2 linked regions of the Caenorhabditis elegans genome follow. The protein of the gene in region 2 interacts with the protein of the main gene of each other region in a pairwise test. Each region holds a gene or a part of one and is shown on either strand. Other genes may lie near its edges. The genes, in order: abu-15 and spsp-1.

Evidence for each region.
Region 1: the proteins of spsp-1 (region 2) and abu-15 interact in a two-hybrid assay, tested with the Caenorhabditis elegans proteins (one large-scale study listed by BioGRID).

What each region holds. Positions count from the first base shown.
Region 1 is NC_003283.11:5,150,681-5,166,850, forward strand, and holds abu-15 (Activated in Blocked Unfolded protein response), read left to right. Parts: upstream 1-7,921; 5' UTR 7,922-7,942; coding exon 7,943-8,167; intron 8,168-8,214; coding exon 8,215-9,156; 3' UTR 9,157-9,227; downstream 9,228-16,170. Other genes in the region: srh-130 (Serpentine Receptor, class H), read left to right, coding at 500-672, 1,141-1,480, 1,756-2,059, 2,109-2,302; srx-38 (G-protein coupled receptors family 1 profile domain-containing protein), read right to left, coding at 3,377-3,494, 3,543-3,673, 3,729-3,940, 3,987-4,210, 4,586-4,746, 4,798-4,836; srx-39 (G-protein coupled receptors family 1 profile domain-containing protein), read right to left, coding at 5,973-6,078, 6,121-6,251, 6,294-6,505, 6,550-6,773, 6,839-6,999, 7,042-7,080; abu-6 (Activated in Blocked Unfolded protein response), read right to left, coding at 9,998-10,939, 10,988-11,212; abu-7 (Activated in Blocked Unfolded protein response), read right to left, coding at 12,716-13,807, 13,855-14,079; srw-140 (G-protein coupled receptors family 1 profile domain-containing protein), read left to right, coding at 15,046-15,149, 15,423-16,017, 16,076-16,170.
Region 2 is NC_003279.8:7,342,795-7,358,939, forward strand, and holds spsp-1 (uncharacterized protein), read left to right. Parts: upstream 1-9,620; 5' UTR 9,621-9,712; coding exon 9,713-9,748; intron 9,749-9,813; coding exon 9,814-10,303; intron 10,304-10,352; coding exon 10,353-10,520; intron 10,521-10,565; coding exon 10,566-10,742; intron 10,743-10,788; coding exon 10,789-10,850; 3' UTR 10,851-10,909; downstream 10,910-16,145. Other genes in the region: glb-18 (Globin domain-containing protein), read left to right, coding at 1,125-1,239, 1,282-1,332, 1,752-1,937, 2,171-2,299, 2,714-2,890; gcsh-2 (Glycine cleavage system H protein), read right to left, coding at 3,279-3,578, 3,625-3,704, 3,867-3,927; kbrl-1 (NF-kappa-B inhibitor-interacting Ras-like protein), read left to right, coding at 4,570-4,735, 5,267-5,373, 5,635-5,713, 6,367-6,608, 6,659-7,082, 7,182-7,258; inx-14 (Innexin-14), read right to left, coding at 7,680-7,717, 7,761-7,812, 7,857-8,138, 8,185-8,436, 8,509-8,792, 8,840-9,049, 9,093-9,279; scav-6 (SCAVenger receptor (CD36 family) related), read left to right, coding at 11,700-11,825, 11,874-12,049, 12,100-12,250, 12,318-12,418, 12,464-12,533, 12,579-12,674, 12,744-12,891, 12,986-13,115 and 4 more; F07A5.4 (Olfactomedin-like domain-containing protein), read right to left, coding at 14,446-14,709, 14,969-15,097, 15,144-15,256, 15,460-15,660, 15,720-15,834, 16,029-16,121.

The sequences.
Region 1 (16,170 bases), on a different chromosome or scaffold from region 2:
AGGTACTTTTTTCTATGCAAACAACAACCCATCAATTTTGTTCTAATTGCAGATGAATCGGTAAGAAAAATAGATGCAGGCTTTTTAATAAAGATTTTTTGAGGTTTTTACTTTAGATTTTCTAATAATTTAAACCGAAAAAATATTGTTTTTTTCCTCAGCTTCAGTGATCACCTGTTTTCATTGTAACTCGTTGTAAATCAATGAACAGAAAATTAAAAACTGAATGCCAGTAATGGAAAAATAAATAGAACAATTTTCAAACATTTTCCCTACTTTGACTGCTCCACCTTTAAGCACGTGTCCCTCCCAGGCCGCTGCAATGTTGTTGCGTAGTTTTCTATTAAAAACATTCAAACTAAAACTCAATTATTCATTGGCGTTGAAGGTTTTGGTTTCTCATCATGTTTTTTCCAACAGGTGAAATGATTATATGGCGGTTGAGACAATTCACTTCTCATTTCCACGGTGCAAAACCTAAGCCTAAATTTTCTTATTAATGTGTCTTTGGAGAAACTCTTCTTATGAATTTGAATCCTTTGCACCATCAATTTTACATCGTCTTGCGGTATTCGAATTGCCGATTCATCTACTCTCTGCTTATGTGGTTTTGTATAAAACCCCTTCTAGAATGGGCTCGGTCAAATGGATGATGTTTACGATGCATATATGGTTAGTGTACCCCAGGCTTCTGAATGAAATTTACATCACTCGAGAGGAGCATTTTGAACTACATAGAAAAAAGTAGATATTTTTGATAGCAAAAATTGTAATTTTGGGTATCCTTCGAATCAACCGAACAATTTTCAATTTAAAAATTGATTTTGCATGTGAGAAGTGAAAGTGATCACTCACATAAGTAAATCCCGTAGGCATATGTTTCTGCGGTACATGTAATATGTTCTCTGATCGGGGACACGTCAATGCAAACTTCCAGAACCTGACACTTTGTAATTGGAAAATGATTTGAAATTGCAGTTCCTGATAAACCTGATAAACTATAAATTGGATTCCTAAGTTTTAATCAGATTTTTTAACATTCTTGCTTCTTTCAATCAGAAAATGAGTATCCTCAATGGGGTAAATACTGAATCTCAAAATTGATATAAAGCAAAATTAAATAGAACTAAAATTTTTCAGCGGAGCCTACCTTGACCTATTCCTAAGTGCTCTTTCTACTCAGTTTTTCCTTCTCCCGGCGGCTGCTGGACATTCTCAAGGAGTCTATACTCACCTAGGAATGCCCGTAAGATGGCAAGCCTATATGTTCATTTCTGCAATTTGTCTTGCTGGTGTTTCGATTCTTGGATTTTTTGAAAACCGTTACGCTGCACTTGTAAAAGGACGCGGCGCTAGTTTAATTCAGGAAAAACAACGTTTGGCATATATTGGTGGACATTATATTTATGCATTCATTTTTATTCTGCCAATCACGTTTACACCGCCTGATCAGACATATGGAAAGCAATATGTAAAACAGGTATCTTTAATGCTTGAGGGTAATTTGTAAACGTCGGATTCCCGCACATTTTGGTACGGAAATTTCAAAGAAAAGGTTTTAAAAGTTTTTGAAGATAAAGTTTCATTACACTAATGAACATTTATTAAAGCTAGAATTTACTGAAATTGGTCAAATCTCGCTGCAAGTGCCAGCTTTCTTTTTACATGTAGAACCCTAAAATAAAATAGACCATTGAAACATATTTTGAAATAATTTTATTAAAAAATCTTTAACTATTTATAAGCAGCTTTCAGATGCTTCCGTGTCTGCCTCAAGAAATATTTGATCATCCGGATTTTTACGTGTACGCCATAGAAATCACTCTACTCACTTTCATTATCGGCTCTGCGGCATTTGTGATAACTGGTGAAGTTATATTTTATTTTACGAGAATTGTTGTATATTTGTCCAGCACAAAAGCTAAATCACAGAAAACGTATAAGCTTCAATTGCACTTTTTTATTTGTTTAACTATTCAAATTACAATTCCACTTTTAATAGTAATTGTTCCGATTGTTTATATTGTTTTTGCATTTGCAAATAGTCATTTTGATCAAAGTAAGTACACCTATATTTTCACACATTGGTTCACAAGATACAATTTCAGTTCTCAACAACATTTCGCTCAACATAATGGCTTTTCATGGACTCATTTCAAGTGCAGTTATGCTTACCATTCATAAACCTTATCGTAAAGCTGTTTTGAAAATGCTTGGTTTCACCTATATAAAAACGAAAGTCAATAGAAGCGCAGTACACATGGATGGAACATTTGTTGTTGTGAGTAACAATAGGTTTTAATGGTATGCTTGAAATTTTGTTGGGTATCTATTTAAAATAATCTTTTGAAAGTGAAAAGTTTTGAAATAAACTGTTATATCGTCTGTTTCACTGGGTACACCTGAGATGTTTTACATAGAAGTCGGGACAGTTGCCCAAAAGTTGCTGGTTGTCGAAAGATTAAGTGTTTGACAACAACAGAAAATGCCGGCTGCTAAAAATTTTGAGGTTCAGCACCTGCGACAACTACCGAAATCAGTTTCTAATATTTTTTGTTCTGAAAAACGCATTCAGAGATCCTAAAAGTAACGCATTTACTTGATCCACGGAAACACCAATGCCCCATCTAAAAAAAGAAAATAAAAATGTACGTCAAACTTGCTTCGCCGCTACTTCCAGAACTATAACGCAAATCTAATTTGTTCTTATTTCTTTGACACAACTTATTATTGAGAAAGAGAAGGTGGTGTAATGCTGTCACAATGTTATAATTCAAGCTCTATATAATTATCTTCCACGTGATTGAGGAAATAAATTCAAACATCAAGGTTGGCCTGTCGTGGTTCAGAGAACAAATTTTGATTGTTTTGTTCGGTCAAAAAGTATTATCCCAGAAAGCTTAAAAATTGGGGCAAATGTAACTTGGTTTTTTATTTGAAAACAATTGTACGACTTGTATTAACCAATATAAAAGGAAAAGCAGAAAATCTGCCCATTGTCGAATTTGTTTTTGCTAACTGAACTCAGACTTGAACCCACTTTTTCCGATTAACTCTTATGATTATAATAGTGTTAGGCTCTTATTCCAACAGATCGAAACACCAAGAAAACGGGTAATTCTGGAATGAAAAAAAAAACTTCAGACTATGAAAATGATCAGAATTAAATCATGAGTAACATAAAATACTGGGAATCCGGCTGGTCTGATTTCTTGGAACTCAATGTGTTCGTATCAATTTTATTTTAAAAATATACAAATAGTGAAGTTTGAAAGAAAACCCGTGCTGTTCTGGAAATAAATATTGTTATTTTTCAAGCAATCAACAAGCAAATTGTCAAAAAAGAATAATTAAATATTAGCTTAAAATAACACAATTAACGAAGTGAATTAATTGTAGTGGCTTTTGACCTCACAGCGCTCACGACCATGACTGTGGGCCGCGTTGAACTAATTTTTCTGCGAATTTCCGAATTGAAGATCAGTGTGAATATTCTGAATATTAATATTTTAAAAATTTAAATATTTTTAACGGGGATATACCCATCGAAACAATGAACTGATGACCATAAAATTGAAGAGAATATAAATGTGAATTGCTTTTCTGGGATAAGTCGTGGTCCCCATGTGAAACAGCAAACAATGACAAGAACAAATAAAGTTTGGCTGAGGGACTGGAATTTTCAATAAATATATTTTTTAGTTTATGAAAACAGTTTTTGTGAATACCTGCTTTAATAAACTCAACTCTTTCGAGTTTTTGTCGGATTTCGACCGCATTTTCACCACTTTCCCAATTGCAGTGAAATCCAAAAGTGTGCTGGTAATGGTTAGAGTGAAAACTTGATAAAAATCCCCATAAGTTCCATACAAACTACAAATTGCCCCACCGGAATATTGAAATGCTCGGTATTCTGCGTTGTAGTAATTCTGGCAGCCCACTGAAAAGATGACTTGGTTTTTTTAATTGATAATATGAAAACTTACAAATTTGAAAGAACAAAGTGATAAGTATAAACGAAAGTAAGTAGGTAGCCATAACAATTAGTTTGGTAAATGTTATACTGAACATTTTATGATAAAGAACTGGAGTAAATACTGCTAGAAATCTGTTTAATGATATTATAAAATGAAAATATGTCGAAGCATCATAGCATATCATCAAAAAGTACCCACATAGATGGGACCAATAGTCCAGGAATTCGTTTTGGCTGAAAATGTGTAGGAATACTGTAGACTGGAGTACTGTAGGGTTACTGTAGTTTTGAAAAAAATGAGTTTTTGTTTTTTGAAGGAATATCGATATGGGGTTTTTGGAGTGTCGTCGAGTAGCAAAAAACATTTCAGCGGGATTTTTTCAATTTTTCAAATAATTTTGGCGGGAAACTTAATTTTCTTTGAGAAACTACCGCACTACTATGTAGATATACGGAACTTCTATAAAATTCGAGACATTTCTGTAAGATTGCCCAAAAGGCAATTTAACTGGATTATATGTATACATTTTCAAATTAAATTTTTTTGGAAAAACCAAAAAAAATACCTATTCAATTTTGCCCGACATATTGTTTTATTCAAAAACTTACAAAAACACCATAGGAGTTGCGTAAAACAAGTATAAAGTTGAAAATACTCCATCGGCAATTGCCAAACCAACAGTTAAAATAGCAAATGGTTTTTGCAATTTTGTAACCTTTATCATTAATATTACGATCGCCCAATTTGTGAAAAACCCGCATGAAGAAAACTGAAAAAAATATTGCTAAGTTGGAGAAAAAAAGTTCGAATTTCAGCTCACCACAATCATAATTGCAGCAACTATTTTTTCCGAGATCATATTTCGAAACAGAAAACAAGTATCCTAGACCAATAGATATTTTGACCTCAATCCACTTCTATTTATTGGGTGGAGTCAGTGCCACACCTGCCATTTAACGAGTACCTGCAATGAACCGAGCTCTGAGTTGATTAAATAGAAGTGCATGACAGAGTGAGGTAGAGATGTTTTGATTTTTCAATCGGTTAAGGTTTGTATTGGAGATTTTTTCGTAGACATATTATTTAAGCTGTTAAAAAAAATTTAATAAAATTCATGTTGTTCAGAGAAAATTCCTAATGTACGTATTACTCATCGTTTATTATACCCCTAACAGAACAATTAACTACCACCCTTTCTTGTTTACGTGTAATCGTCTCCCCACACAGTTTAAATATTCTCTAGTTTTTTGTTTGGTTTCACACACAAGAAACAATTCAGAAAGAATTAAAAATGGATGTTTCAAAAATACTGTTTTATATATACTATAGATTTGGGAAGGATGCAAGTTTGAATTCCCTTCCAATTAATTTCCTTCCACTCATTTTTGAACCAATCAACTTGACACAGTTTATCTGATTGGCTCCAGAAGAGTGGGAGGAACGAATCACTGATTGGCCTTACTGTTTTCATTTTGGGGGAAATTCAAACTGGGAGTTCATTCATACTCAAATTTAAATTGGAAGTCTAATATGAAAATATTAAACTTCCGTGGTGATAAAAACAGAAATCCTTTTTGTGCTCCATATAATTAAAATTTAATAAACTAGCTGGCAAATAAGTGGCGCAATTACCAGATTTTTTGCTTTGATTTTTGCATTTTCTATTCATTTTTGGTTATCTTATAAAACTATACATTGATGTACAATTTATCTAAGGAAAAGGAACAAAACCATTGGAGCACGCACAAAGTACCATATTTACGATTTTTTTTGATTTTTTTCCACTTTGATGATTTTCTTGCAGCTTGTTCTTAGAAGATGGGAACAAATGTGACTTTGATCATGCAAATCATAAATTTAAAATGTACATATTTTTTCTTTACAAGCACATGTTCTGAACCAAAATTCATGATATAAAAATAACTCAGTTCCTAAAACCCTAGACAATGACAATTGGCTTGAGCATTACAATTCCACTAACAAAGACCTCTATTCTTAATCCAATGCAGCCGATTTCGATCTAACAACGTTGAATGCCAGTGGCTGGCCGCTTCTGGAACAGCTCCTTCGGATTTCTGGATTGAAAATCAATGTGAAAAACCTAAATTAGAACTTTTTGAGTATTTAGAATATTTACAATTACCCATCAAACATATGCACTGAAGACCAGAGAATAGAAGAGAAAATAAAGGTGTAATCAATGTCTGGAATAAAACGCGGACCCCAAGTAAAACTACAAACGATTGCAAGAACAAATAGAGTTTGGCTTATGGACTGAAATTATTATTTAAAACAATCTATAAAGATCAATATTACCTGTTTCAACAAGCTAAGTTCTTTTGAGTGCTTTTCTGTTTTTGAGCTAATTTTTAACACTTTTCCGATAGCTAAAAAGTCCAAAATAGTACTGGAAATAGTCAATGAAAAAACAAGATAAAAGTCTAAATAAGTTGCATAAAAACGACAAACGTCTCCTCCAGAATAACGAAATGCTCTTGTTTCTTGGTCATAAAAATTTTGACATCCCACTGCAACTCTCCCGTCAATTTTAGTTGACATTAAACTAACCTACAAATTTGAAAAAATAGTGTTATGATTGTAAGTGCGTAGGAATAAATTCCCATTACTATACAAAACGTGAACAAAACACTAAACATCATACGATAAAGCATTGGTTTATACACTGCTAGAATTCTGTTAAGGGATATCATGAAATGAAAAGTTGTTGAAGCACTGTAGCAAATCATAAGAACATATCCACAAACACTCGAATAATTTGATAAAATATCGCTCTCGCTGAATGGAATTTTTATTTTAACTGTTGGCCTCGCTGAATGAAAAAAAAAACTTGTTCAACTTACAAAAATACCATTGGAGTTGCATAGAATAAGTAGAGCGCGGAAAATGTTCCATCAGCAATCGCTAGACCAACAGTTAAAATTGCAAATGGTTTTTGCAACTTTGTAACTTTTATCATTATAATCACAATTGCCCAATTTATTGTAAATCCACAGAGGGAAAACTGAAGGTACATCAATTTGTTTGAGCTACAATAAAATCTTACCAAAAGCATAATTGCAGAGATTGTTGTCACGGAAATCATGATTGTAATTTGCAGCCAACAGGAAATGAAAAAGTTAATGTTATGAATGAGAGAGAAATATCTGGAAAAATTGAAACTTTCTTGTCAGGCTCGAGTCACCTGGGCCGGTGGCGTTCAGCTACAATACAAACATAGTTTCTTTCACATTTCGCATAGATACAATTTATTTTTAAAAAATCCGTTAGGCTATTAACTAAATGTTTTTATACCTAATTTTTTAAACTTTGAAATGTGTTTCAAAGTGAGTTCAAAACTAAAATTTCAAACTCTAGAGATCCCGGAAGCTAGGAAATCCCAGAAGCGAGGCAGCAACCACTGTAGCTCTATACAATCAAATCGAAAAAATGTTCGGGTCTGAAAACCAACTTATGTCATGCATGACAAATCATGTAAATTAAATTAGAGTCGAAATTTGTCGTTCTTACATGTCTACGTGTCTATGTGGTTCATTGATTCTTTTGATTTTCGATTAGCTAGAACGGTTCAAAAATTTAAACAAAATTAAAAGATAAATCTTATAAAAATAGATTGCTTATCGCTGTTTGCCCTTGAAAACTAGTTCTCATGTGCGAACCTTGCGTGAACAAGGTCATAGAGCAAACTCAAACAAGACCTCTCTTCTTTGCTTGCGCAATACTACAATTTATTCCTGTATTAGCTCGGAGTTTTTTAGTGACTCGATAGCTTACTTGAAGCTTTAGGCGAACGCTTTTGCGCGCGGCCGCAAGAGAGAGTCACATTTAGAAGAGGATCAGGAAATTAGGAACTGGAACCGGTTTACTGAGCAGCTGGAAAAGTCATATAAAAGAGAAGAACAGAGCTTCATTACCATCCGATTTCCTCGGTTCGAATCATTATTAAAATGCGCTTTACTTCACTTTCTATTGCGTTCCTTGCATGTGCCCTTGTGGTATCTGGAAGTGCAATCCGTGAAAAGAGACAGTGTGGATGTGCTCAGCCACAGCAGAGCCAATGCTCGTGCCAACAAGTTCAACAGACTCAGTCATGCTCGTGCCAATCTGCTCCAGTTCAACAACAATCCCCATCCTGCTCATGCGCTCAGCCACAACAAACTCAACAAGTTCAGGTACAGTTCATTAACATATTCGCAAACCATTAAATCAAAAATTTTAGGTTCAATCTACTCAATGCGCCCCAGCTTGCCAACAGAGCTGCCAACAGCAATGCCAGGCTTCTCCATCAGTGTCCCAGTGCCAGCCACAATGTCAGCAACAGTGCCAGGCTCAATGCACTCCAATGTACAACCCACCAACCACTACTACCACCACCCAAGCTCCAGTTGTCCAATACCAACAGTGCCAACCAGTATGCCAACAGCAATGTCAATCTACCTGTGTTCAACAACAACAACCAGCAGCTCAATGTCAGCCACAATGCCAACAACAATGCAATGTTGCCTGTGATTCCCCATCCACTACCACCCAGGCCCCACAAGTGATCCAAATCCAACTCGAGATCCAACAAGCTCAAGCTCAATGCCAACCACAGTGCCAGCAACAATGCCAATCTTCATGTGTCCAGCAACAGCAACAATCCAACCAGTGCGAGCCAGCTTGCAACACTCAATGCTCTGATATCTGCCAACAAACTGCTCAGGCTACCCAACAAGTCTACAACCAGAACATGAACCAGAACACCAACACTCAAATGTACAACCCATACAATACCAACACCAACCAGAACGCTAACTGCGCTCCAGCTTGCCAACCAGCCTGCGACAACTCCTGCACTTCCCAGCAGACTCAGCCAATGTACCAACCATACGACACCACCACTGAAGCTCCAGCTCAAGTCATCCAGATTGTTCTCCAGACTTCTGTTGCTCAATCATCCCAATGTGCCCCACAATGCGAACAATCCTGCCAACAGCAATGTGTTCAGCAACAACAGCCAGCTGCCCAGTGCCAAACTGCCTGCCAATCATCATGCTCTAACTCATGCCAAGCTGCTCAACCAGCAACTACTGCCTGCCAGCAGAGCCCACAACAGAGCTCCTGCTCTTGCCAAGCTAACTACTCTCCATGCGGAAATGGACAATGCTGCCGCAGAAAGTAATTTAATTGTTCCTGATTCTTGATTTTTGTATATACCGAAACAATTCAGTTTCAATAAACGCATAACTTTTTAAACCTTCTCGCTTTAAAAATCTGACGTGACATAAAAATAACCAGAATAAACCAGTTGTTTTCGAAACACAACATGTTTATTTAAAAACTGTTAGCGTCTCTTCTTCGACTACATTTTTAGAAAATCTCATAAACATTTGTTCAGTTGGCATTGATACAGGTTTACGTATGTTCTATCTATTTCTGTACTCATTGAAAAATGCTCTCATCAAAGAAATATTTATAGAAAAGTTAGATTTACAAGAATTTTCTAGCTCGCCAGCAGGAGTTTAGAAACTAGAGATTAAAAAAAAAAAGCTCACTGATGAAGTATTTTAAATTCAATTTAGTTTCAAATCGTTTAGGTTCACGACTTTACGTGTTTCACTACCACACTGTTCCTTCATTACGAAAAATGTAATACGACCTTAGAAGTTAAAATTTATTTTAGCTTACAATTAAAATTGCTACATACTTTTTCTGATAATACTTGCGAGTGATAACTTTATAGCGATATATCAAAAATGTTTTCCATTTTCATTAAAATTAGTTTTACTTTTTTAGACAATCTGGTATCTTGATATGCAATACTCGTTACATTATTATTTCAGGCATTCACTTTAATAATATTTCACTGTTTCCGATAGTAATGATTATGCTAGTTTGTGAACCACTTTTCATTATACAGTGAAAACTTTGAGATTCTGGAAGACACTTTTTAAAAAGTTATGCGTTTATTGAAACTGAATTGTTTCGGTATATACAAAAATCAAGAATCAGGAACAATTAAATTACTTTCTGCGGCAGCATTGTCCATTTCCGCATGGAGAGTAGTTAGCTTGGCAGGAGCAGGAGCTCTGTTGTGGGCTCTGTTGGCAGGCAGTAGTTGCTGGTTGAGCAGTTTGGCAGGAGTTAGAGCATGATGATTGGCAGGCAGTTTGGCACTGGGCAGCTGGCTGTTGTTGTTGAACACATTGCTGTTGGCAGGACTGTTCGCATTGTGGAGCACATTGGGATGATTGAGCAACAGAAGTCTGGAGAACAATCTGGATGACTTGAGCTGGAGCTTCAGTGGTGGTGTCGTATTGTTGGTACATTGGTTGAGTCTGCTGGGAAGTGCAGGAGTTGTCACAGGCTGGTTGGCAAGCTGGAGCGCAGTTAGCGTTCTGGCTGGTGTTGGTATTGTATGGGTTGTACATTTGGGTGTTGGTGTTCTGGTTCATGTTCTGGTTGTAGACTTGTTGGGTAGCCTGAGCAGTTTGTTGGCAGATATCAGAGCATTGAGTGTTGCAAGCTGGCTCGCACTGGTTGGACTGTTGCTGTTGCTGGACACATGAAGATTGGCATTGTTGCTGGCACTGTGGTTGGCATTGAGCTTGAGCTTGTTGGATCTCGAGTTGGATTTGGATCACTTGTGGTGCCTGGGTGGTAGTGGATGGGGAATCACAGGCAACATTGCATTGTTGTTGGCATTGTGGCTGACATTGAGCTGCTGGTTGTTGTTGTTGAACACAGGTAGATTGACATTGCTGTTGGCATACTGGTTGGCACTGTTGGTATTGGACAACTGGAGCTTGGGTGGTGGTAGTAGTGGTTGGTGGGTTGTACATTGGAGTGCATTGAGCCTGGCACTGTTGCTGACATTGTGGCTGGCACTGGGACACGGATGGAGAAGCCTGGCATTGCTGTTGGCAGCTCTGTTGGCAAGCTGGGGCGCATTGAGTAGATTGAACCTAAAATCATTAATTTAGTAGTGTTTGAAATAAATGCATAAAAGGTACCTGAACTTGTTGAGTTTGTTGTGGCTGAGCGCATGAGCAGGATGGGGATTGTTGTTGAACTGGAGCAGATTGGCACGAGCATGACTGAGTCTGTTGAACTTGTTGGCACGAGCATTGGCTCTGCTGTGGCTGAGCACATCCACACTGTCTCTTTTCACGGATCGCACTTCCAGATACCGCAAGGGCACATGCAAGGAAGGCAATGGCAAGTGAAGTAAAGCGCATTTTAGTAATGATTCGAACCGAGAAAATCGGATGATAATGAAGCTCTGTTCTTCTCTTTTATACTACTTTCCCATACCCCCACCCTCTGTACCAGACCTGAAACTTCTTGATTTCCGCTCTTCCGTTCACTTTTCGTCTATGTGTCTCTCATTCTCTTTCCGGCCAAACTGTTTGCCTTATAAAAAAGTGTTCGTGTAAAAAAAGGTGCGGTGAGCATTAGAATAAACTCTCTAATCAAACAAACGTGTGTCGAGGAAAAAGGTGAAAACTGGTATGTTGCAAATTGGAAACTTTAATTTTGGAATGTGATGTTCCTTGATCTACATTATGTTACGGAATCGTTTATCTGAAGTGAATTTTTAACGCTGTTTTGTTTTCTTAAAGTTTCGGAAATATTTTATTTTAGGTTTTATTCAGCTTGCGGCCTTCCTTCAAATCTATACTGCTATGGAAATTTTGAAATTATTGTATCTTTTTTTATTCTATCGGTGGCGAACTATACCTCTTTTTATTTAAAATTTACAAATGACTGGTTATGAAGTTGAGACAAGTGAGCGTTTAGTTTCTAACTGACAACTTGTTATATCGTGCTGCAATTTGACAGCTTGGGAAGAATGTAGACAACAAATGTGTTATTTGCCAAATTTGAGAAAATACGTGTTCTAGAAAAATAATTTTCGATTTGAAAAATACTTAAATTATTTTGAAATTTTAGTTTCTCATTTTAATTTGGTTGAACATAATTTGTTATCCTCTCTTGTTCTTATTTGTATGCAATTTCTGAAATTTGAAATTTGGAAAGTTTAAACGTAATGCAACTTTAATAAATACGCTATCAAATTATTTCCCGGAAGATTAATATGTTTATCAGGTTGATAGGGCGTTCGATGAATATGACACAAAAAATGTTTAGTTGTATCTGCTAGAAACTGTTTCAGAAGATATTTGTCAGTCTCATTATTTGTTAAACTCGAAATTTCTCTGATTACTGTAGAACCTTTCAACAGTAAACTCGTATAAGCTTGTATGAACGAATTAAACTCGTTTTAAAAATAGTATCGTGAAAGTGTTCACCATATCTCTCCAGCTGATCGGCGTAACTTTTTGATCTATTCGTAATATTTGTTTGCCCCGTCGGCAATTGTGCAAAGATCATTTTCCCACCCGAAAAGAGGCTCTTCACGCTTACGAGCTGTTTCTGCGCCCACTCCAACTGATCAAAACTAGAGAACAATAGATTAATCATCACGTTTTCTGATTTCTGTTTATTCGATTACGTGTAAAGTATGTATATCATTAATTTGAAGAACAAAACATTCGAATTAGATTGGTACAGGTCTATCAACATTTTTTTGTCTATTATTGTATACTGTAGAATAATTGAAAATGATTTATTTATCATATAGTCAAAGAAAAAATGGTGTTCGAAATATACAAAAAAGATTTTGAGCAACAATGGACTATTGATACCCATAAATCTTCGATCGATCGATTCGGTCTTTCTTACTTTCTGCGGCAGCATTGTCCATTTCCGCATGGAGAGTAGTTAGCTTGGCAGGAGCAGGAGCTCTGTTGTGGGCTCTGTTGGCAGGCAGTAGTTGCTGGTTGAGCAGTTTGGCAGGAGTTAGAGCATGATGATTGGCAGGCAGTTTGGCACTGAGCAGCTGGCTGTTGTTGCTGAACACATTGCTGTTGGCAGGACTGTTCGCATTGTGGAGCACATTGGGATGATTGAGCAACAGAAGTCTGGAGAACAATCTGGATGACTTGAGCTGGAGCTTCAGTGGTGGTGTCGTATGGTTGGTACATTGGTTGAGTCTGCTGGGATGTGCAGGAGTTGTCACAAGCTGGTTGGCAAGCTGGAGCGCAGTTGGCAGATCCTTGGTTGTTGTATGGATCGTACATTGGAGCGGCAGTGGTTTGCTGGACTTGGTAAGTTGGCTGGGCTTGTTGGTACACTGGCTGGGCCTGTTGGGATGTGCAGGAGTTGTCGCAGGCTGGTTGGCAAGCTGGAGCGCAGTTAGCGTTCTGGTTGGTGTTGGTATTGTATGGGTTGTACATTTGGGTGTTGGTGTTCTGGTTCATGTTCTGGTTGTAGACTTGTTGGGTAGCCTGAGCAGTTTGTTGGCAGATATCAGAACATTGAGTGTTGCAGGCTGGCTCACATTGGGTCGATGGCTGTTGTTGCTGGACACATGAGGACTGGCATTGTTGCTGGCACTGTGGTTGGCATTGAGCTTGAGCTTGTTGGATCTCAAGTTGAATTTGAATCACTTGTGGGGCCTGGGTGGTGGTGGATGGGGAATCACAGGCAACATTGCATTGTTGTTGGCATTGTGGCTGACATTGAGCTGCTGGTTGTTGTTGTTGAACACAGGTAGATTGACATTGCTGTTGGCATACTGGTTGGCACTGTTGGTATTGGACAACTGGAGCTTGGGTGGTGGTAGTAGTGGTTGGTGGGTTGTACATTGGAGTGCATTGAGCCTGGCACTGTTGCTGACATTGTGGCTGGCACTGGGACACTGATGGAGAAGCCTGGCATTGCTGTTGGCAGCTCTGTTGGCAAGCTGGGGCGCATTGAGTAGATTGAACCTAAAATTTTTGATTTAATGGTTTGCGAATATGTTAATGAACTGTACCTGAACTTGTTGAGTTTGTTGTGGCTGAGCGCATGAGCAGGATGGGGATTGTTGTTGAACTGGAGCAGATTGGCACGAGCATGACTGAGTCTGTTGAACTTGTTGGCACGAGCATTGGCTCTGCTGTGGCTGAGCACATCCACACTGTCTCTTTTCACGGATTACACTTCCAGATACCACAAGGGCACATGCAAGGAAGGCAATGGCAAGTGAAGTAAAGCGCATTTTAGTAATGATTCGAACAGAGGAAATCGGATGGTTAAACTATCTTGCAGACTCACTTTTATATACTGATTTCTAACTCTTTTTCATTTTCCGCCCTCTTTCCGCCGAGCAAACATTCCAAAGCGTTGGTAAAAAACTTCCGTTCAACTGGTGCATGTGCATCGAAACTTTTAAAACACTTGAGTAAACGGAAAATCGTCTGGCATTCGTTTGGAATCTGCCTAGTTTGCGTTAATAATGGCCTCAATACGCGCAAAAGAATTGTGATTCAAATATTAATAACCTGCACAATTTTAGTCGTGATTATTGTGCTTTGAAGTATGCACTGTTCGTCTGTGGGTATATTTTTTAAAGGTAGAGTAGCGCCAGCGAGAAAACTAGAGCACATGTTATTGTAAGGTTACTAGAAGGAAGTGTTTTTTTTTGAAAAAGTATAGACATTGACGTCTCTCAATGTTTTCTTTAATATTAATTAAAATTGTTTTTCATTTTGAAAGTTTTAAAATCAAATTTCTACGTGGCAAAGCGCGTACTCCGATTACCGTATATTTCTGGAAAAAATTCTGAAAATGGTTGTGACAAAAATATACTATTGTAAAATTTAATGGCACACAGTTATCAAATGTATGACAATAACATCAAATAAAATACGCAATAGGATTCAAATATGTGAAAACAAAAAAATCATAACCAAAAACCAACAGCTAATTAGCACTGGTATTTTGCTAATTAGCAATACTCAGCGTAGCTATGTATGACTCAATCTTGTCTCAGTTATTCTGACTGATGTTCGAAAAAAAAGCGACTATTTACTTGTCATATTTCAATTTATTCAATCAAGTGGTCTTACATTTTCAAATTAATATAATTTGTTTGAACCACCTGGCATCGACAACATTTTGAATGAGTTCATATATGAAATGTCATATATGAACATGTCATATATGAAATGTTCAGTCTAAGGCCATGGCTCAACAAGACATGTCGTTTTGTAGTCAAATTGAGGTTTTTTATCCAAATATTCAAACATCAACGGCCCTGTTTCTATGTCGGATTGCTGATGGATTGGGGTTTGTTTTATTCGTTTTTAATATTCATTTGTGTTTTGGAATGTGCCGAAATTACCAAATTTCAAAGAGAAAATTATCATAAAATTTTAACGTTTCGATCGCTGTACAGTTTGGTATATTGAGACTATTTTCTGTCTTTTTCAAAAAAAAACTCACAGATACGATTCCGCCTTTGATTGGTTCAAGATAAAGTTGTAGAGACAAACGTTTTTTTTTTTTTGGAATAACCGGAAAACCCAAAAAAAGGGTGAAATTTAAAAAGATTTATTTCAGAGCTTATTACAACACAGTATTCGAAAATGAATCTCGAGTAGCAGCTGTGAGCTTTTCAATAAACCTATTCCATTTTATAATTCTCACCAGAAAACCGATGATAAACTCATCTGTCAACATCATTATGGCTGCAATTGCATTTTTCGATATTTGCACTTTATTATATGAAATGCAACTAATTGTTCAATCCATTATTTTTCTATACACCCATTGTTTCCAATCAGGCTCATATGCATGGGTTCTTTTTAACTTAGTGCTGGAAGCTCTGAGAGATTATTCACGACGTTGTTCCACTTGGCTCTGCTTATCAATAGCTTTACTTAGAATTCTTGTCATGAAAAATCCTCTTAATCAAAAGTATATGAGGCTGGTTAACCCTATTGGAGCGTTTTATGCAATATCTATAATGGTTTTAGTTAACGTTCCTATCACTGTGTTTAATTTGATGAAATATACAATTAAGGGAATCATACGAAAAAGCTTATGCTTTCCAAATGGAAGAGTAACATATTATATGGATTTTGTCGAAGCGTTTACAAATAATGATGGGGCTCTTCTTAAAGTCGCTACGACAAGCAATGCAATTATGACGAATGTACTAATTTTCTTTTCTTTCTCGAGTTTTTTAAAAGATTACAAATTTTAATTTTCAGATTATTCCATGCTTTGTATATCCTATTTTCACACTTTTTCTTGTGTCAGAACTCAAAAAAGTGAATAAAAATAGACAAAGCCTATCATCTACGAA
Region 2 (16,145 bases):
CGATTTGATTCGAATTAAACGTATGCACACATACTTTTACGGAGTTATCTACTGACACTATTTGCTCCTGTTTTATTCTGCTCCATTCAAATAAAAAACATCCAAAAATGCTTTTAACGACCCGTCCGAGATTCTTATTCCGCCAGCGATCCCATTCAGCATCGAGGTAGGCTTCTCCAAGTGATTGATGTTTTTTTTTTGCAAAATATGAAAGATGTGTGGTTGTATATGTATATGTGTACATCTTTATCTAAGATCTTTGTTTTTGGAACATTTGAGGGCCCTAGAGGTCGCTAGACTTTCTTTCCTATTTGCCATTTTGCTCAGTGTTGACGGACTTTTTTTTGCTTTTTTTCTCATGACGTCGACTTCTCTCTTCTCTTCTCATCATAATCATATGATGGGTAGAAGATAAATTCACACGTACGATTCTAGAATATGTATTGGAATTTTGGGAAATACTGGGAACCGAAACTTTTAAAAAATTGAATTTTAATAGTTCATAGTCTCATAGCTCATAGATAACATATTTCAAAAAAAAAATTCAAGACTCATTTCATTAATCTTTTAACCTTTCCTTTTACAACATGTTCCAGACTTAGAAAACCTTGTTTTCAGTGAAATGCAAGTAATGTTTTATTCAATTTAGTTTTCAATCAAAACATTCTATTTAAGCTTTCCTTTTTTCTCGTAGAACATAGAGAAAGGCGTGTCAACTGCATCAAATTGACTCGTTAACGAATGGACATATTACTTATTCCGACACTGCCTTATATTCTTGTTTTCTCATTCATAACTCAGTAATCTCGATTTCTTCTTCTTCTTCTTCACTTTCATTTATTACAACTATGATATTATTGAGATGGTATGGAACTTTGTTAAATATTAAATCTTATTTTTTCACTGCTCCAATTTTAACATCTCGGCTGCTTTCAAATTACTACTATTCATTCATTTTGCACTGTGGCAATTTTTTAATAAAATTAAAAACCGGCCGAGTTGCAGTCTACCTAAAAATCCGATGAAGTTCGGTGATTTTTTAAAATTCATCAAACACGGTTGTATTAAACTGAGATATTATAAGGAAATAATTATGTTTAAGTAATAAAAGTTTTGATTTTCAGTGTATCCGAAAAGGGCGCCTCGTTCAGTACACCACAGGCGAACAGGAAGAACAAGGTGAATGGAAACAGAAGGATGAGTGATTCTAACAATGTTGCATACAGTAACGGTTCGAAGGTTTGTTATGAGATATTATTACTTATAATTATTCTATTTCAGAAAGTCTTTGAAGGTGATATTGAGAAGTGGGAGCCAAATGTGTATGAAAAGGTAAGCACCGAACTGAACAATAGGAATTTTAAAAAAGTTGATTTTTGACAATTTGATTGGTCAGAGTAGTTTTAATTTTTTTTAAAACTTTTGGCCAGGGATGTGGGCCTGGAATAAGTTGTAGTGTGATAGCAAATAGAACTTTTAAAACAAATATGTATAAATTGTATGTGAACTAGGGTACATCCTAACCATTTCTTCAAAGCATTCAAGCTGTAAACTTTCAAATTAAAAAAAAACCAGTACTCACTTTAGAAGTACGTCTATTTATGGTTAAATCGAGAAGTAATTCTATAACTTTTGTTCAGTTTTTTCCATGAACAAAAGTTTTCAAAAATTAGAAGATCGAAAAGTCAATGTGCATAAAAAAGCAAAAAAAAAGAAGAAATAGTGAATAAGAGATGAATCTCTTCTTTCAGGAATTACTCCGACGCACGTGGTCAGATGAGTTTGACAATTTGTACGAGTTGGGATCAGCAATCTATTGTTACATTTTTGATCATAACCCAAATTGCAAACAATTATTCCCGTTCATTTCGAAATATCAGGGAGACGAGTGGAAAGAGTCAAAAGAATTCAGGTCGCAGGCTCTCAAATTTGTACAGGTTCGTTTTTTTAAAAAAAATAAATTAGCGAGTCTCTCGTGGTCAAACGCGTATTTAAAGGCTGATGGGTTTATTCGGTTGGGTCTCGCCGCGCGAAAAGTTTATGGTAGCAATTTTTGATTTTCGCGGCGAGACCCATCCAAAGAAATATGTGCTCTTTCGAGTACGTGTTTCAGAATTTTGCAAGATTACGATAAATTATAAATATTTGAAAGAACCATCGAAATTTTTAGACATTAGCTCAAGTGGTCAAAAATATTTATCATATGGAAAGGACGGAATCGTTTCTTTACATGGTCGGACAGAAGCATGTAAAATTTGCGGATCGAGGTTTCAAGCATGAATATTGGGATATTTTCCAGGTGAGACCCTAGTGATTTTGATTTTGGAAATTGTGTTTTTAAGGCAATTCGCCTGATCACTGTTAAGTAAACGTCTAGATGCTAATTTTCGCGCGAATTCGCCAGATCTTGCGCACACGGGTCTAGCCACGCGGAAATCAAGGTACTGCAACGCGCGTCGATTCTTGGGCATTTAATTTGATGCAATATCAGGCTGTAAATCGACACGAGTTACAGTAACTCGTTGTTCGCGTGGCGAGACCCATGCGCGTAAGATCTGCCGAAAATTATCATCTGCAGACGCCTACGTAATATAGATTTGAAAATAATTGATCGGAATAGTTGTTTCTAAATTTTGAATATCTTTCACAAATTTTTGACTATGAAATTCTGGTTTTTATGAATCGTTGAAATTTTATAAATTTTATTATTCAGGACGCTATGGAATTTGCATTAGAACACCGTCTCTCCATTATGACCGATTTAGACGATAATCAAAAAAGAGACGCAGTGACGGTGTGGAGGACATTGGCACTATATACAACTGTACACATGCGAAATGGGTTCATTGATGGTCTGAAAGGTGTCAATCGTTTTCCGCCTTTAGTGTAATGTTTTCAATTGTTCGCATAATCTTATCCGTAATTGCCTCCAATCTCTGTGATCGTTTTCTCTTCAATTTGATTCAACTTTAATAATAATATTTGCTTTAATTCTTTCGTTGTTTAGAGTTTTTCAATTTGAATTTACAATGGCGTGATGAAATCCAGCTAAACAGGGATTTTAATTTTTAATTCACAAAACTATTTGCCATTCACATTTTAACCTCATTTTTTGTAAATATTTGCATTAAAATATTTTCCAATTTCTAAACAATTGTTTAATTAACAATAAAAAATAAATATCAAAAGAAATACATTATACTCTGACCTAAACGAATTCAATATGAATACCAGTACCAGAATGTTATAACTATAATACAGAGATTAAAGGTGTTTGTTTAGTGGGCAGCTTCTTCGTCCTTCTTGAACTTTGCATACTGTTCCTCGTTAAGAAGTTTTTCCAGCTCGTCTGCTGACTTAACTTTCAATTTGTACAACCATCCCTTTTCGAATGGACTCTTGTTGATCAGACCGGCTTCTTCCTCCAATTTCACATTTTTCTGGGTTACAGTTCCAGAGATTGGTGCATAAATGTCAGAAGCGGCTTTCACACTCTCAACAGCTCCAGTTGAGTCTCCTTTTGAAATTTCAGTTCCCTCATCCGGCAGCTCAATGAAGACGACATCTCCGAGTTGTTCCTGGAAACTAAAAATATGCAAATTGAACATATTGAAAAATACTAACCGTTGCAAAGTCCGTAATTCCAACGGTTCCAACACCGTTCTCTACGAGCACCCATTCATGTTTCTTCGTGTATAGACGACCTAAAATCAAAAAATTCGATGTTATACTTTTTTTCCGAATTTAAATTAATAAAATACTTTGAAAATTAAATTTTTTTAGTATTTCTTACTGCTTGATCTTGAACAATCTTTGATTTGGCAAAAATTAGATGATTTTCAGAAAATGAAAGAAAAAATACGTACCAGATGAGGCCAATCTGACAGCGGAACGAAGAGATGGAACAGCACGACAAAGTTGGTTCATACCTGAAAACAAAAATAGTTGTATGGAAAATGTCAAAGAAAAAAGAAGAATTTTAGAGTAGTGAAAAAGAAAAGTATCGGGTCGGACGAATGCGTTATCAGTAGTAGATAAAGGCAATATAAACTGCAAAATAAAGACAAATAGGATAGATGGAAAGATAGAGAAGTTTAGTAGGTATGAGATGATCAGAGGGCAATGATTGTCTTGGAGTTTTTTTTGAAAATTTAATGTGTTTATGTGATTTAATAAACAAAACTTAAATATGAACAAAAGGATCATATTTGTAAAGATGTTGGAAGGAAGATTATAAAATTGAACACTCGTATTAAATTCAGAGGCGTTAGATTCGAAGAGAGTGAAAATATATTTTCATGACCTTCATGGAAATGTTTTCATTTTTGAGACAATGTTTCGTTTCCAAAACAATTTTGTTTCACTTATTCTCACTCTATGTTAATTAACCTTTATTCTCTTCAGAATTTCTTTTCAGGATTTTGAGGGTAGCCCATTCAATAAAGTTCCTAACAATATATTTAGACTTTTTTTTCAAAAACCCACAACTTACTCACTTTATAAATCTTTCAAGAAGCCAGTTTGAAATGACTTTTCCGTGATCGGTTTAGAGCTTTTTTTTGCTCAAAAATGCTCAAATTGAAAAACAAACACGTAAAAACCGGTAAATGTGCAAACACGCCGACGAGATTTCACAGAAGATGCATACGAGTTGGCGACAATTTAACCAATAAGCGAGTTCGATTCTTTGGTTCCGCGTCCAATTCTTGTGAGTTTCTATATTATCTATTTAAAGGTAAATCATTTTATTTACTTGAATCAAAACCAAATTATCTATGAATTGCATTAATTCCTCGGAATTCGTAGTTTTCCCACCTGAAAAATTCAATTTCCCAGAATAAATATTTCTTCTGAATATCAAATTGCAATAAACTCTCGTTTTCAAAAGAGCAGCCACAGGTGCTTTATTGCGTCTCCACCCCGTCTATTGTGCTATTATTTTCATCCACCCATTCAAAACATTTTATCAATGCTGTAAAGCAAAAAGCACACAAACATTCGGACGATCGTCGTCTAGTCATCGTGTTTCCACCTGTAATTAATATTAAACTATTCCTAATTTCCGTTTAAAACATACATATTCATCTGGAAAATGAGTGGTGGTAAGGGGAGCTTTCGGCATAAATTCAATGAAAAACTAAAGTTATCCGATCAAAATAGAATAGAAATCCACTAATCCCTTTTATCCGAGGCGATTAAATTTGAAACAAAAACGTTTCGAAGCAAAAAAAAAAATATTTTCGAAATCATCATAAAATGTTTTCAGAGAATTGGATCCGTCCGAGTTCTCGGAAGTTTTCACTCGGAGTAACTCCGCGAGCACTTTCACGAATCGACGCCACATCGACTCCATCTCTAGACGTCCCTCAAAAGGTGAGAACATAGGAATATGAGTCAGCAGAAAGAATATTATATTGAATCCTGGTCCTTTTGTAAATAAATATCGGCTATAAAGAGGATGGGAATCAAGTTTTTGGAAAAAAAAGAAACATTTTCCTTATTTCTTGTAAAATCAATCCCCTCCGCGATTGTCTAAAATGCATCGAAATTTGCACAAAAAGGTGATTTTCAATATAAAGACAAAAATTATAGTATTTCAATTTTGGAATCGTTGAAATTTAATTAAATTTGCAGGCCACAAATCGTCGATTCTCGTTAGCCGCGACCTTCTTTGACGCCGCCAAAGCAGATAGAAAAACTTCACTTTGTGTTGGTAGGTTATTAGAATTTCGCCCAGTTTTATTTCAAAAACTAAAAAGACAAAAGTGCAAGATAAAATCTAAAAATTAAGAGAAAACTTCATTACAGTGAGAACCACTAACTGAAAAAAGACAGATTTTTCTATCCAAAAAAAAATGAGAAAGTCTCTTAATTTTCCCCATTTGCCACTTTATGACCTAAACAGTGCCACGTCATCGTCTAAATCAAACAGCGTCCTCTGTGCTTAACTCTTATCACTTTTTTATGGCATGTGCACTCCTCCCTCTATGCACCACTTAGTTTCAAGCATTTTTCTTACCATATTATCATTCTTTTCCCTAGCTATTCTTATTGTTTTTGGATCAAGTCATGTCCGACTCTAAACTAAGAAACACGGTTTCTATGAAATTCAAAAACAAACCCAAAAAATATCTGAAAGCGGCTGCTCCGATATCACAATCAATGGCTGCTCTCGACTTGGAAACCAATGTGAATTGGAGAAGAGATATGAGTATTGATGAAGAAAATGGTGCTTTTTTAAAAAAATATTTCCTGAAAAATGAATTAATCTATGTTTCTGCCATACTTTACAGATTTTTAAAATTCAAAACATAATAGGCATCAATCTACCAAAAATTCATTAAATGATTAACAAGAAACTTTCAGAAAAAGATTATCTGAATCATCAAGGCCGTTACCGTACAGTCGCTGATCCTGACTTGGAGCGTCCATTATTTGTGGAACGATCGGAAGAAAAAGGTGTTCGAACCTTCCGAAGCGATTCAATCAAACCGGCTAGAAGCCGGCGAATGGGGAGAGCAATGCGGGTGGTTGTAGTTGGAGGAAAAAAAGTCGGAAAGACAGCTATTCTGCGGCAAGTCGCATGTGTTGAGGATGTTACGAATAAGGTTCGAAGATTAAAAATAATTATTTCGGTTTCTAAATTTCTAATTTTCAGCCATATGAACCAACGATCGAAGACACATATCAAGTTCTTTTGGAAGAACCGGACAAAGCTCGAGAGATTCTTATATTGCACGATACGGCAGGAGTTTCAAATTACGGACCGATTGAACTGAAGAAGGCATATGTACAAGCTGCAGACGCATTTGTTCTTGTGTATTCATCTGCTGATTACGAATCGTTTAACAGAGTTGATTTGCTGAAAAAATGGATAGACAGACAATTTGGAAAAGATAAGAAAGAAGTTCCAATCGTAGTCCTTGCCAATATGCGAGATCGACCGGCGACAGTTGACAGTGCTTTTGCACATAGTTGGGCTGCACGAGAAAAAGTTAAACTATTCGAGGTTACTGCAAAGGACCGGCAGAGCCTAGTCGATTTCATTCATTATGTAGGACATCGACATTTCCATCCAACCAGTAAGTTTTGAAAAATACTTTACTTTGCAATCTACCCAAAAAGCTATAACTGTTTTTTTTATTTTTGAAAGATTAAAAAAATTATCGTTTCTTTTTCAGAAGAATCGAAATTCTCGCTCTCAAAGAAGCTGAAATCAGAAAAATCTTCAAATCCAGCAATCTTGATGGACTTTTGACCCCAAACTTCTTATTCTTCTAATATTCTTTGTGATAACCAAAAACTGTGATTTCACTTTTCTCTGGCCATAATTATCAAGCTCCTTCTCTGTGCCTTCATCCTCCCATTTCTTATTTGGTTTTCTTTGCATAATTTTTCATCACATTATAGGCACCCAAAATATAATTTAATCAGTATTCTCGGTCAGCAAACTTTTTCTTATGTACGTCTAATTATGCTTCTTTTTGTGCATTATTCACCAAAACAGAAAAACTTTTCAAAATCAGGTTGCAGGTTCATTTTTTGTATATGATAATAATAAAATGAATGAATAAAACAGTTATAATAATAACTTTACCTGAGAAAGAAGAGGGAGCAAACAATAGATAAACATGTTAGACAGAATACTTTGTGAAATTATGGTGTACTGTTGAAAAGACTTAAATCTTCTGCGGTGCAGCGAATCCGTAATTGGTTTCTGGAATAAATATATGTATAAGGGAGACATTTGAAAAACTAACCTGAATAAGCCAAATCTCTTGGACTTGAAGTGAGAGTTGGAGCGGTCTGCAACTAGTGGGATATTAGAATAAGTACAATATTTATCAAAAACCAACCGGTTCAAGGCCAGCGTCTGAGCAATATTTCTTGAAAAGAGCACCGATGACTTCTTCAGTTTTCAAAAATCCATTCGTATCCATCATGAAATAAATTAAAAGAATTCCGTCGGCACACAGGTACTTGTGAACAAAGTTGTAGCGGTGATCATGAATATTACTGTCGAATGGCTCTCGTTCCAATGATTTTTTGATCAATTTGTAGATCATCACCTCGTTGAGCTTCTTACTTTTGATACGAAGAATCCACTTAACAGTTCCAATTACCGAGAGCGCGGTGAGCTGAAAATATTCTTGAAAATCGTGGCCAATAGGAGAAAAAACGTACCACAAGAAGCCAAAAGTAAAGCCCAATGAAAATTTTCTCGTTAATCACATTCATCGGAATAATGCATTGAGCTTTATGATTCACAAAGTTGCTAACTGATTCTTGCAACTGATATTCACATCCCACAAGAATTGGGAAGTACTGGAAACGATTGTAACTGCCGTCTGTGAGAATTGCCGCGAATCTTTGTTTGTCGGAAAACGAGGAGAACTCGGGAGCACGTGGAGTTGGGTGAATGAATTTGCCGAGAAGCTGAAAATAGAAAAAAGACATACTTTTATTATCAGTGTCATTCAATTTATATCAAAAACTTGCTCAACTCACATCAAAACCCCAAGTCCACGAATCAACGTCCAAGAATTTGCAAACCAAGTTCACTTGAATAATCACATTAGTTATGAAAAATAACTTTGTGAGACTGTACAAGACACTGGGAAAAGCTGAGTTAAATGTGATCCACGATAGATATCCCATTTTGTGGGCACGACGGAACTTGAAGTGATCATGCATATAATTCACAATTCGATCCACTTTTTCCTTCGTCTTTTCAAACGTTTTCTCGCTGTTGATTTTTCCAGAGTAATCCACAATGAAAGCCATGTCAATGTCTGAAAGATTAAAAATTTATATTACTCTACAGAAGAATAACTCGTACAAATAAGCTTTTGCATGTATGCCCAGCACCAGAAAGGAAGAAGAAAGCAGCATACTTGAAATGCAAAGAAGAAAGGAACCCATTGATAATAGTTGACAGATGCATCTTCAGTGTAACTTCCAAATTCAGACGTTCCATTGCTCACGTCGTATCGGAAAGTTCCATAGAAAAGACAGAAATTGTGAATGTAGTCGCGCCACGATTTCAGATCTGAAAATTGAGATTAATTTATGAAAATTAACGCTATTGAAACCATCATGTTGCTTCGGGAGCATGCAATCGATTGGATTTCCGAAATGTTGTTTAGCACCAGTGAGTAGAACAAAGAATCCGAGAAGATAAACTGTGAAAAGGTGAAGTCGATCGTAAAATTCGTAGAGCTTCGCCGCTTTGAACGGTTTGGTGATGAAATCGCCGATAATCGGGATCTCCCAAATCATTTTGCGAATAGAACTGAAATACACAGAAAATTAATTATTTGAAACTATTAAAACCTAACAAATATAATGCTTACGATAGGCGAAAATCCTCGAAAAAATGAGTTGCTGGTGAGTAAAGTGCGCAAAATTAGAAACTCCCGGCTACCGTACCCTGATATATTTAAAGGCGCGTGTTTTTAATCCGGCTATAGGTCCGGCGCGCTACTAAAGTTTTCAGGCCTGGAAAATCTTTCAGAGTTCTCGAATTGGAATAAAAATCAAATACTTGAAAAAAAAGTTATTTAGAAATAATATTTTCGTGACCTTGGCCTTTGAAATTATCTTTTTGGAATATCGATGAGGAAAACGAATCGAAAAACAAAAGAAAATCAGTACTCGAAACTAAAACTTTTTGCAAGCTCGAATATTTCGATTCAATAGACAACAACCATCGATGGCCAAGTCTAACTCGAACAATAGCCACAATGAGGTAAGTAGTTTTTTCTGTCCGGGCATGAAACTTTCTAACAACTTTGAAAATTATAAATATTACAGGCAGATACTCTCTCATCACTTCTCTCTTCAGTTGGTAGTTCTTATGATGGAGAATCTGATTCTACATTCGTGTCAACTGGAACTACTCCATCATCAAGCCGTCGTTCTCGTCTTGATTCGTTCCTTTCAACTACTAGTTCCAGTAAATCAAGACCAAGAATTAAAAGCAAGCTTCCTCGTAGCTCGTCGTCTGGATTCTCGGGAACAGGATCTGAAAGATCTATTTCAAGCAAAAGATCGAAAATTGGAAACACTTCTGGGAACCGTAACAAGATTTCGCAAAGTGCTAGAAGAAGACTTTTGCAAGCTGAAATTGAGAGTCGACGCAATAGATCCAACAAATCACCAGGTTCCAGTCGTAAAAGCATTCTGAAGAAATCTCCGATGAAAAAAAGAAGATCTCTTTCGAGAAAATCTTTACCAAAGAAGGAGCATATTCCTCCAGTTCAAAAGTTTGCAATTATCAAGAATCCAGCTGCTCGTAATCAAGGTGAGCCCTGAGATTGTTTTGAAAGTTCACATAATTGATCATATTTCAGTTCGTGGATTTGTTGCTGAATACGCACAAGATCCAGAATTTGAAGCTTTTGAGCTTTTGGTTGACGGAATTCCATTTGTTGCTCTCTCTCTGATGAATGCTCATCCAGATCTTCGTGGAAGATTCAAACCTGTTCCACCACCAACACCGATGAAGAAGCATACTCCAGGTAGTTTTATCTTGAATCACCTTTAACTCATTTACTCATTTCAAGGTATCAATAGCCCACGAAAACGTCCTTTGCGTCGTGAATCTATTTCTTCCGTTAACTCGAAAAGTGTTCGTTTCACTGATGAGGGATCTTCTTTTTCGAAAAGAGCTAGAAAATCTTCATCCGGAGATGTCGATTCATCGATTCGTGAGCTTGGAGAGACAGTATCGGATGCCATGAGTACGATTTTTGAGTCATTGTAATAAAAAACTATTTTTTTTTGCAGTTGACACTGGTCGCCAGTACAATGATTTGTGGAAGGATCGTGCACATAGTGTTGAAAAATGATTGATCTCTGTAATGATATCACCTGATTGATTTTCTAGAGAATAAAATGATGATTTGAATATGTTTAAGTAATTTGAGATTAATTCTTTATTTGGTCCCATTGGCCGTTGACGTTCTAAAAAATCGATTCCTTTCGCCCTGAAGACGCTTTTAAAAATATGAACGATAGAACCGCTAGAGCTAGTTGATAATTTTAAAACTAAGTTTTCAAATTTAGAGAGGTAACAGCTTATAATTTTAATTTTTTTAAAACAAATAACAATGAATTACAGCAAGTAGGAAATGTCCGAAATTATTTCAATGGTGTGAACAGTTTTTCAAAACATCTGAAGATTTTGTACACTTTTAATAGTTCAGTAAAATTGGGAAATCAACTCAAAACTTTGATTGATAGTTAGAACAATTTTCAAATTTCAAACTGTTTTGTTTAACCATTTAAACATTTTTACTACATCTAAAGTTTATACTGACAAACTCCCCCTGACGCCCACTCTTCGCCTCGACCGTGTAGAATTTCTATTGTAGCTACGATAGGTTCTTAACCATCAATTTTTATGAATCATTAAAAAAAAAAATAAATCTCCACGAATCTCTGGAGTATAGTTCGACCCATACGATCAGTGCAAACTCTTTGAGCATTCACCTGAAGCTGCATCTAACGTGTTTTCTGCCATTGATAACCAGGGCATTTCAATGTACGACAATATAGTTAGCTGCTGATAATAAAGAATTCGTCTGATAAGCCACGTAAACCATATAGACAGCATATTTACATGCTTTCTGACTCTGTTTTAAATCGATTTTTGATAATTTCAATTGGTTTATATGTTTCTTTTTTTTTTTCAGAAAATGGGTTTTCGGATACGGATAAATAAACTAGATGTATTCTTAGTTGTTATTGCAATTGTGTTTATTGTGTTTGGAATTGTTACTTGGGCGGCATTCTCTTCAATTTACAGTACTCTGGTCATAAAGGTATTCCCGTGAAAAGTGAAGTTAATTCCTAAACTTGCATGATATCAGAACCTACAACTAACTGAAAATTCTGATACCAGTCTAGGATATTCTGCATTTCAATATACAAGTCCTCAAGTGGATAATATAATGAAATTCTACTTTTTTAATGTTACAAATCCAGACGAAGTGAAATACTATTCTGCTGCACCAAATTTGGTAGAAATTGGTCCATTTTCTGTAATGTAAGTTGAATTTTCCTCATAGATATGTTAATTAAATTCCGAATTTGAAGGGAAAGTGAGCAGAAAAAATATCTGGAATTCAGTGATGATAAATCACAAATGTTTTATCAAAATTACAAAAAGTATATTTTATCAAAAGATTATTCGTGTGAAGATTGTGACTGGGACAGAAATATTGTTTTTCCGAATCCACCAGGATTGGTGAGTTTTGATAGATTAGCGGGCGAGTGCACGTGGCGCCTCAACTTGATTTCATGTCTGTTTTCAGGGGGCTGTTGCTTCAATGTTAGATCCACAATTCCAAATCACAAAAACGGGAAGAACAATTATTGCAGTGGCTTTAACAATTCTTGGTGAATATCCATTTGTGTAAGTTTTTCACCGAATTTAACTTATTTTAAAATAAGTTTGCAGTTCTCATAAAGTTCGTGAAGTTCTGTTTGACGGTTACGAGGATGCTTTACTGTCCGCTGCTCATTCAGGGGTAACTTTTTAACTTAAAAAAAGTAGCTGTAAATCTAATTTTTAGTTCGTGACAGTTTTATCAGGAATATTCAAAGGAGATGGTGGAAGTATCGTTCCAATTCCGATTCCAGCTATGCCGAAATTTGGATATTTTCAAGGGGTTTGTAGATTCTTTTGAAAGCTAATTTCTGATCGGGAACTATATTTCGAATTGAGAATATATCTTCAGTATAACAACTCAAGAGATGAGGAATATTGGATTGAAACGGGAAAGAAAGATATAAACCAAATAGGAAATGTTCAGCGATGGGCTGGAATTACAGAACTTCCTGGGGAATGGTGGACTACTCCAAAGGCTAGAAGTATTCGTGGAAGTGGTGAGTTGACCATTATCTCGCATTGAATTGAATTGAATTTATTGAACTTTAATGCAATTTATTTTAAACACATTCAAAAGGAAAGTATTTTAAGATTCTGGAAGTTTCACTCAAATGCACTTGGACGAGTCATCAACTGCTGATATGTTCTTTTCATTCATGTGCCGATCATTCACAAAAACCTTTTACCAGAGGGAAACGATTGAGTCAATTCCAACAATTGGGTGTGTTAGTTGTCACAAAACAAATAAATAATCCTCTTTTCACAGTTATCATATTGGGTACGACGAATGGGACACCACATCTGATAACAATGTGGGCTTCCGTTATCGAAATATTGAAAAGAGAAACTATTTTCCTGACTGGCCAAAATGTCCACCGTAAGTTTTTTTTCGAATAATTTTTACTCTCTTAATTTGCAGCAAAAATTTTGGAGTTTTTCTGAAAAAAAAGCTGATAAGTTTTTGTCTGAAATTTGATTTAAGATTTCCTGAAAGATTGAGATTTTTTCTGAACGAATAGTATTACCGGTACAGAGAGTGTAGATAGTTAGAGAGTGACAGACATCCGGGACCCAATGGGGCGGGGATCGATCGAAATGATTGATTGAAAATATGATTTAATTCAACAATACATAATAGTGAAAAAGAGAAACTTCAATTATAAATTTTTGATTTTCAGAAAAGGTCAATGTCATCAATCAGGCTCTATTGATTGTTCAAAGTCAATTAATTTCTGTCATGCATGTTGTGATGGTTCCCTATATAATGGAACATACCTTCTACCACCTGGAATGTTTCCACTTGTATGCTATCCAGGAAGACTTCAACCAACACCATTTGCCGTTGTTTATTCTCCTCCTCATTTCCTGTTCTCTCCAGATGAAGTACGGACTACTGTAGTTGGAATGGCTCCCAATAAAAGCCTACATGAGCCAATGATTTATTACCATGAACCTGTGAGTTCAGTTTAAATTGGACATTGAAGTTTGGAAATAATTGTTTTTTAGTATAGTGGAACAACATTAAAAGTTGTAAATCGTCTTCAAGTGAATATGCCAGTCATTCGATCTCATGATGTTCCGTAAGTTAAATACAATTCAATTTTAAAAAATTCAAACTATTTTCAGAAGTAGTCAAAATATGCCAAATGTTATGATTCCACTGTTCTGGCAGGATACATCACCGAAATATCACCAATTCATTTTTAATGAAGTATGGCTCGGATTTGTATTAGTGCCTCGATTGATGAGGGTTCTACAATTTGTGGCTCTTGGAATTGGCCTTCTTCTGGTGGCGATTATAGTTTTTCTTCAATTAAGAAAAGGAAAACCGTCTTTGATTAGACCTTTGAAAACAAGTTTCTTAGAAACGACAAGTAATTGGTTATCTTCGACATCTTCTTCCAATTCAAATGAAAGTAGAGGATTAAGGAGAATGTGATTTTATTTGTTTTTCAATGTACTTTTGCAATAAAATAAATTTTAATGTGTTCTAAAAATTGTTGATAAAAGTTGAAGCTTGTTAAACTTTACTGATAGTTATGATAATGTAGTTATTGTTGTACGGGAACTTTGTAGATCTTTGCATTTGCGTAAACAGCAATTGATTTGCTATTAGGGTCATACTGTACATTGCAAATTGGCTGAGAAAGTCCTTCCCATTCTGTAGTTCTTCCTTGAATATATGTGTGACTATAAAAGTCATAGACAGGTGTCACAGTTCCATCACACTCTACAGAGTATAAAATTGCACATCTGACGAACGCATTACACATTGTTGAAGTGTCAATTGAAGGAAGTGTCCAATTAGAAACTATCTGAAATAACAATGTTTTGCTTTTTGAGAGAAGCGCATTTATGCGGATGGCTTTCGCCGAGAAACTTTTTTTTAAACTGATGTTGTGCTCTAATCATACAGAAGTAAAACTGTGAATTTAAAAAAAAATTATTCTTTGCACTGCAGATATTCTCTTCATTTAACTCCGAGGAAAATGTAAAACGTTTTTTCAAAGACTACAGCATGATGTACAGGAGATGTAATACGCGAAACAATAGAGAACGCAGAGAATAACGTACTTGCATGGTGTGGAAGTTTATTCGACTGACTGTAAGAACCGTCTCGTCCTGTCTTCTGTAGAGCACCCATATTCCATGTTCTTCTGCCTGTACGTCAAGCCGAGATGTAGAATTTGCGTAGAGAGGTTTCTAAACATTTGAAATTAAGAATACCCATAGCGATTATGGTCAGTACCAAAGAAGTTCTCAAAGGTATATAGTTCGATTTTTCAGTTTTCAAATTGTATGAAATCAATCGATCGTTCTCGCTGTAGTACATTGTGTTGTTGTAGACCATATTATCGGTTCCTGAAAATATAGTTTGAGACGTTTTTGGAATGGGTCTTCTAAATTTGCCAAACGGGACTTTAAAAATAGACTGAAAATGAAGTCTATGGATGTTTGAATCTTAATTCAGATTAAAAAAATCTAAATTTATTAAAAATATTTCGGTTCAGGCGAGAGCGGAGACCGAATTTTTTAAAGTGAAAAACTGAAAAAATTTACAGTACCATCAAACGGATACGGTAGAAATTGTACCGCCCGTGTTTCTGAGCTATTCAATCTTCGATTTCCTTTAAAAGAGAGCATCGTGTATCCATGTGACATTTCACAAACATGCCAGTGACCACCATCCAAATAAGCACATCCTTCTGAATTTTTTCGTTCACCAATAAAAACCGGCTTCCCTAATGAAACTTCGGCGGAGCATTCTGAAAATTGAATTGAAACGAAATGGAAAATTCTGAAGGAATCATGAATCATTCAATACTTCTCTTTAATTCCTTCACAACTGCAGAAACTCGAGATGGCTCTTTTTTCTCCAATTCTCTGTAGTGTTTCAGAGAATGAAAATGTTCCATGCAAACTTTACGAATGTGCTTTTTCTGAAATTCGAGGAGGATTGTTTGTTTCGGTAATAATTTAGATTTTTCTCGCCGATTTTGAAAAAAAATCGAGTTCTACACTTTTGGCAATTTCCAATTTGGTGAACAATTCGCTAAACTCGAAAAGTTAGATTTTTGAATAGCTCTGGTCTGATATTTTCAAGGACTAATAAAATTAATTAAATTAAACTAACTGAAACTTGTGCATAAATTGGCATAAAAATTGTCGAGTCATCGTCAGTCTTTGGTAGCCGATTTGAGTTAAGTTCTCGTTTATGTCGATTTATCTGAATTAATTGTACTATTTGAAG